Linked DNA regions of Ovis aries. The protein of the gene in region 1 purifies or fractionates together with the protein of each later gene. This does not show direct contact. Links are inferred from orthologs where the notes say so. Each region holds a gene or a part of one and is shown in the gene's direction. Other genes may lie near its edges.

Evidence for each region.
Region 2: the proteins of RRM1 (region 1) and RRM2B purify together in Homo sapiens (affinity purification with western blotting; 3 studies listed by BioGRID and IntAct, counting the BioPlex papers as one, with this or other methods). This does not show direct contact. The link is inferred for Ovis aries from reciprocal best matches to the Homo sapiens genes RRM1 and RRM2B.

The regions. Positions count from the first base shown.
Region 1 is NC_056068.1:49,759,416-49,762,915, reverse strand, and holds part of RRM1 (ribonucleoside-diphosphate reductase large subunit), read left to right. Parts: intron 1-41; coding exon 42-121; intron 122-168; exon of another isoform or gene 169-2,265; intron 2,266-2,723; coding exon 2,724-2,925; intron 2,926-3,500. UniProt on the Homo sapiens protein: Provides the precursors necessary for DNA synthesis. Catalyzes the biosynthesis of deoxyribonucleotides from the corresponding ribonucleotides.
Region 2 is NC_056062.1:75,080,049-75,084,012, forward strand, and holds the start of RRM2B (ribonucleoside-diphosphate reductase subunit M2 B), read left to right. Parts: upstream 1-1,164; 5' UTR 1,165-1,226; coding exon 1,227-1,274; intron 1,275-3,964.

The DNA.
Region 1 (3,500 bases):
ATTTGAAGTTTCTTATGGTTGGTACTCTTCTTCCTTTGCAGGACTGGTCTTTGATGTGTCCAAATGAGTGTCCTGGTCTGGATGAGGTCTGGGGAGAAGAATTTGAGAAGCTATATGAAAGGTATGGGAAAAATACAAAAGTAATAATGTTTTAACCTTGTTTCTTTTATTTATAGGATGTAAATTTCAAAACTATGTCAATCATTAGCCTAGTTTCTAGGATTCTTCAGAAGCATCTAGAAGAGAATGTGACTAGTAATTTTGTTTTAGTATGTTTTCTTCCTGAATCTTCACCAAAATTTTGGTCTGTCTTTCTTAAAACTTTGGAGGGACTTCCCTGGCTGTCCAGGGGTTAAGACTCCACTCTACCACTGCAGGGGCCACAGATTTGATCCCTGATTGGGGAACTAAGATCCAGCATGCTGTGTGGCATGGCCAAAAAAATTACTCATGACAAACCTACCCCCAGCCCCCTGGCCAGGATGCCCAGGTAGGGGAACACCTCCAATGGCAGTGGCTGAACAGGAAGTACGGAAGGAAGTGAGGAGGGCAGTGAGGGGGTGGGGGGCAATGAGGGCCCTGACAGATGCAGAGGGTGTCTGGAGTACAGACATTGAGCAGAGCTTCCAGGAGGCCACAGCCACTTACCTACCCTGTGGCCAGCGGAAAATCCTATTCAATGGAGTCAAGTTGTATGGTTGTGATAAACTGATTGCCTGCAACATCAGACTGAGAACATGAAAGACCTAAACTTGCAAACAGTCTCTAGTCATGTCCAGGCTTTGGCCCAAGGGAAATCTGGGGAAATCCAGTTGATGCTCAAGGCGCTGAATGTGGACCAGGTTTCCAAGGACAAGGCTTTCCAGACAATGACTACTGTGTCCTTTGTCCACCTCATCTCAGCACCTTCCCTGCAGGCCAGACTGGGTCCCACCAGTCCTCAGGCCCCAGAACCTTTCCATTTTAGGCCGGGGCTTCTGGGCCCTCCTGGAATGTTCCAGATGTGAAGCCATTCTCAAAGTGACTGTTCTCCTTGTCACTGAATCCTCCATCTACTGCTCTGCCAGGGTATGAGCTTCCTAAGCCCTCTTACCCCTTGCTTTGCCCCCACCTGCCACATCACCCCCAGCCTGGTGGGCTTGGGCTCTGGGCACTGCTCAGTCACAGCACCTGTTTGTACACATCAGCCTGCGCTGCCCCAATCCTGGAGTGCCCTGCCTCGAGAGTGTGGACATGTGACAGATCTATGACAAATTCCCTGGAAAAGAAGGGCTATAGGAGCTGTATGACCGTAGGGCCACCCACACTTTCTTCCTGGTCAGGTTCTGGGTGGACCTGACTTGGGGCCCAAGTGGTGAGGAGGTGGGGCTGCCAGCGGCAGCAGTGGCTTCTGTGGAGAGAGCAGCCAGTATGAGAGCCTGGACCACGTGGCCCTCGCCTGTTCTTCAAGGTCTACTCCTTTGGCAAGCAGGTGGTGGAGAAGGTGGAGACGGAACATGCCCTGATGGAGAATGGGAGGTTTGTGTACCACATGTTGCACTCACCCATGTGCAAGCACCTGGTGAATTTTTTCACGAGCTGCGGCAGCTGCTGGAGCGCCATGCGATGAACAGTATCCTGGAGAGCTTCACCATCCTCCAGGTGGTGACAATCAGAGACACCTAGGAACTGCTGCTCTGCACCGCCTACATCTTTGAGGTCTTCACCAGTGAACGGGGTGCCCAGCACCACATTTACCGTCTGGTTAGGGACTGAAGGGGGACCCCAGGAGTGGCTCATCCTCAGAATACCCTCCTCTCAGGAAGGACCTCCAGCTTTCCTCTTACTTGGGGTGGGGCTGCTCCTTAAAAACTGGGTTGTGAGTTGAATGTGCTGGGACTGTGAGGAAAGAATGGATCCTAACGTTGGAACCTCACACAGGTGTCTGAAAGGACAGATCACTCCAGAGCATTAGACATGGGGAACAGAAGTGTGACAACCCTTGGGACACCACTGGTTCTGTCTCTGACAGGCACCCTCCCCGTTTTCTGTTTTGGATGTTTGGGAGGGCCCCAGTTACACACTGGCTTGTCCCTCTCTGTTGTTAAGCGCTCTCCATCTTCCCAATCTGCCTCTCCTTACCACCGGCATCCCAGTAGCCATCCCAGTAGCCCGATAATCGAATATTGAAAGTTAACTCTTTCTGTGCAGGAGCAGACCAGGTAGGCCCTGGAAATATTTCTTTTTTAATATAACAAAAGATAATTATTAAGAAACAGACAAAAATCTTTGGGACATGTAAATAGGTGTTCAAGTTAAATCATATTTTAGTAGATCCTCTAAAAAATTAATACAGAGTTATTTAGCAGGGTTATTAATTTGCTTTGTTATAAAGTACATTTGATAAAGCAAGTTATGCTTTTGTATTGTATACAGGAATTGAGAGCAACTGGGATGCGGGTGTCAGAAGTTCATTAAGTAATAGCACCAGAGTACTGCTGTAGCACAATGGCACTATTTAACTACAGTCTTTGTTCCTTTTTATTATGGAAGGTATTATTGATTTAGTGGGTCTGGCTTTAGCCATAGTAAAGTGTGTATCATATTCCTAATTTTTTTCCCTTAGCAAAACTTAGTAAAAATTTAAGTTTTCAATATTTTTTATTTTGGTATTTTCTCTTCATATTATCTGCAATAAAGATTTTCTTAGGGAATATTAAAATAATACTAGCTTTGCCTTCCAGGTATGAGAAAGAAGGTCGTGTCCGCAAAGTTATTAAAGCTCAGCAGCTTTGGTATGCCATCATTGAGTCTCAGACAGAGACAGGTACCCCGTACATGCTCTACAAAGATTCCTGTAATCGGAAGAGCAACCAGCAGAACTTGGGAACCATCAAATGCAGCAACCTGTGCACAGAAATAGTGGAGTATACCAGCAAAGATGAGGTAGGTAGAAAAACTTCTGCCTCGGGTACTGAGAGAAGAATCTTAGGAGTTTGTGAATTGTTTGTGAATCTCTCGCTTGATTTCCCTTGAGTTGAGTGAAGGAGTGTTCATAGCTTTATGTAAGCAAAAGGGCACTGAAATAGATTATAAAGGAAGGAAGAGGTGTAATGTGTGCCCTTAAAAATATTTTAGTCTGAGCCATATAGGAAAGACTGTCGATTTTTTCTTACACACACATTGTTGTAATAATCTTTTCTTGAGAAAAATAGCAATACATAATTATTTAGGTTAGAGTTAGGACAAACACAGTAATGTGTTAGAGTGTGCATTCAGTTTAAAGTATGTAAGCATGAGAGTCCTTTCAGTGAATGTGAGACAAAATTCTCATCTCAAATCTTTAAGGCCATTCACAGAAGAGGCAAGGCTGGAAATGGGATATAGATTTGGTTATTTTAAAAAGAAGTTTATGAAAAAGCTTTCTATTTGGGAAGAACTGCCAGTATGACAGATGAGAGACAGGGATAGGTTTTGTGCAGTGAGTGGAAAGTAAGTTTATTGTGATGGAGCAGATACAT
Region 2 (3,964 bases), on another chromosome or scaffold:
AAGAGCTCGCTCTCTCCTCTTTAGCTTCTCCAGTGTGCGGTCCGACCGCCAACCCGCAGCCTCTCAGGACAGGCCGAATTCAGTTCAGTTCAGTCGGTCAATCGTGTCCGACTTTTTGCGACCCCATGGACTGCAGCACGCCAGGCTTCCCTGTCCTTCATCAACTCCCGGAGCATCAATCTCACGTCCATCGAGTCGGTGATGCCATCCAACCCTCTCATCCTCTGTGGTCCCCATCTTCTCCTGCCTTCAATCTTTCCCAGCATCAGGAACTTTTCCAATGAGTCAGTTCTTCAAATCAGGTGGGGAAAGTATTGGAGTTTCAGTATCAGCATGAGTCCTTTCAATGAATATTCAGGACTGATTTCCTTTAGGATGAACTGGTTTGATCTCCTTGCAGTCCAAGGAACTCTCGAGTCTCCTCCAACACCACAGTTCAAAAGCATCAATTCTTCAGCTCTCAGCTTTCTTTATAGTCCAACTCTCACATCCGTATATGACTACCGGAAAAACCGTAGCTTTGACTAGACAGGCAGAGTAATGTCTCTGCTTTTTAATATGCTGTCTAGGTTGGTCATAACTTTTCTTCCAAGGAGCAAGCGCCTTTTAATTTAGGCCGACTTAGCTCGACATACACCGTGTTCCTAACGCACTGCGAGGACTAGCTGGACAGTTTCGATAGTAAGAGGTCCGGGGACCTCCCGCACTGAGAGGCTAGAAGACGGCGACGCGGGAGGGGCCAAAGGCAGCGGACCGGGAGGGGAGGCGGGGCCGGCTGGAGAGGCGGGACCTAGCGGAGGAGGCGGGGCCCGAGGTGCAGTGGGCGGGGTTTGGCAGGCTCAAGGAGCGACCTTCACTGAGAAGGCGGAAGGCGGTGCCCGCGCAGTGGCGCTGGGCCAAGTTTGACGAGACTCTGTTACTCCTGCTGCGGCGGGAGGTGGGGTCGGCGCGGAGGAGTGGGGCCGGCAGTCGGAGTGGGCGCGTCCCAGTGTGAGTGGGGAGGCGGGGCCAGGCCCGAGTCGGGCCAGGTCCTGAATGGGCAGGCGAGAAAGCGGGGATCGGCGTGCGCCGAGGAGCGGGGCGGGACCGGCCGGAGTAGGAGCGGTCCCTGCGCCAGGGGGCGGGGCCTACTCAGAGCACCCGCCGGCCACCTGGTCCTGTCCCAGTTGGAGTGGCCCGAGGCGCTCGGTTCCCTCTGCTCCGGTAGCTCTGGCGGAGTCTGCGCGATGGGAGACCCGGAAAGGCCGGAAGCGGCCAGGCCCCAGCCAGAGGAGGTAAACAGCGCTGTCGCTTCCTCTCCCGCCCCGCGGTCACGCCGGGCCTCTGGTTGCGGGCTGCGGCGGGGACCTGCAAGGTGCAGGATCTCTGTAGTAGATTTTACTCGTTGCCTCCTGAGACCCAGGGTAGGCCTGGCCTCGAGCGCTCGCTGCAGCCTGGTTTCGTCTTTTCGAGCGCTCTGAAGGCCATCCCCTCGGAGGGGTGAGGAGGGAGCCGGGTTTCTGCTCCACTGCTCTGTTCCGGGGCGACCCGAGGGCAGTGCTCTGAGACTTCACATCCGGGCAAGGCGCGCCCTCTTCCATCCTCCCCTGTTCTGGAGCCCTGGCAGGGGAGGTTGAGGCCAGAGCCGAGGACTAGTGGCTCTACTGGAGAAATGCATTCCATCTCTGGGATGGTTAATAGGACTTGGAAGGAAGCGTGTAGAAACTAACACAAGTGGATGGGGTTAGCTGATCAGTAGAAAGGCTTCGGGAAATCCTCCTAATAATGGCAACGATCAGGTTAGGAGACCAGTTTTACTCAGACCCCGCTAAACGAGCTGTGAATCTTTGGGGGGTACCACTTTCTTAATTTCTGCAGTGGAAATGATACTTCCTTCATAAAGAATTAAGTGCCTTATGCAAAGTGCCACGGAAGTTGTGGGTGCTTAATAAAACCTACCTTAACCGTGTTCATCTTCTTGGCTTCTATATTAGTGAAAGTGTTAGTCGCTCAGTCGTGTCTGCCTCTTTGCGACCCTATGGACTGTCTGTAGCCCACCAAGCTCCTCTGTCCATGGGATTCTCCAGACAAGAACACTGGAGTGGGTAGCCATTCCCTTCTCCAAGGGATCTTCCTGACCCAGGGATGGAACCTGAGTCTCCTACATTGCAGGCAGATTCTTTACCGTCAGAGCCTCTAGGGAAGCCCTTCTATATTAGTAGAGGTACGTTACAGCAGTCGACACACTGGGATTCATGAGTCTATAGAGCTGTAGGGTAGTTAAAATTGTTGTGCTATAATTTTCTTAGCCTGTTATGTTGTAAACACTTCTAAACCTATTGCTGTGTGTGGTATCTTTGATTATTTTTAATAGAGTTTCAGCTCACAGAGATTCAGCTCTCAGATTCACAGAGATTCTTACATTTCTTCAGAAAGTTGTAGATTCCAGATTTGGGATTTTACTTTATTTTGACTCTGTAAACATTTAGTAACTAGCAAATTGTAAATAGACCTCAAACTTTCTCTTCCTCTTTTGAAACAAACATTGTCCTACTCTAATGGGACAATTCAGATATTTTTGTTTGTGGTGGTAGCTCCAACAGTTCAGACTTAAGACCTGGAAGTTAATTTTTGTTACCCCTATCTTGGTACAGACCCACAAAGACAGAGGCAGAACTTTAGATCTAAAGTTCAGTGAGCACCTGTTTCACAGTTTTTAACTTGAGATGCAAGGATGCCTTAAGTACTTTATTTCTATAGATATATTGTTGCAGCTTGGGCCACCTGCATCAGAATCACCTGGAAAATGTTGTGAGAAATGTAAATATCTGGGTCTACGCCCCAGATATAGTGAATCAAAGTCTCTTGGGATGGGTTTGGGACTGCATTTTTAACAAGCACTTCAGATGATCCTGGTACACAGTTTTGTTTTGGGTATGCCAAGCAGCATGTGAAACTACTCCTACCAGGGGTCAAACATGTGTCCCCTGCAGTGGAAGCACAGTCTTAACCACTGGGTCATGGGACACATATTTTAAGAACACTGTCTTGAAGAATTTATAGATGAGCTTGAAGGGGGTTTATGAATCTCCTGAAGTGTGTAGGTTTTATATGTGCAGCTGTGAATTTCTAGAGAAAGGGGGTCCAAAATTTTGATAGTTTCCCCAAATTAACTATCATTAATCTAACTGATAGTCCCTGTTTTCAAAATGATATGCCCAGGACCATACAACTCAAGTTTAAAACCAAGTTCTCACTCCTGGACCAGTAGTACACCTGTTTTGTCAGATTTGGTGGGAATAGGAAAATGAAAATGAAAACACCTACGAATAGTGTATAACTCTGACAGCATCCAAACATTCTACTTCACCCAAGGAGAAAGAGAGAGTTGAAGGCCAGCAAATGAAAGTAGTGTAATTGGAGGTGGATGGGAGGAAGGGGCTGTGTAGAATGCCAGTCTAGATCAGTGCAGGGTGAATGCTAGCTGGGGAGTCTTAACCCAGATGGCTGCCCTCGAATGTCCTGGCACTTCTTGGGACCAGGTGTCCAGAATCAGGAAGCACCATTCTGAAAAAGACAGTGGAAAGTTACCAAGGAATGCTTATGAGAAACTGTTTCACGTTTTCCTCACTTGAGCATTTGCAAACAGCAGTTACAACAAATTAGTTGTCTACTTTCAGTCTTACCAGCTGTCCAATCCTGTTTACCACTGCCAAATTAATCCATCAGTAAACCTATGCCTGCATGCCACTTCCCTCAATTAAATACTCCCCAAAGGGTCTTAATTCCTGCACCAAACTGCCCAGCTCTTCGCCCTGGCAAAGCAGCTTTTTCATGTTAACCACTACATCTTAATTCAGGCTGTCATTTCCACCTCTGAAATGGACACTATCGTTGCTACCAAAACCTAGGATTTTCTCTTTTCTAATTCAGCCTACACATGGATATTCAATTTCTCTTTCTCATGGTACCCGTGTTCATATTA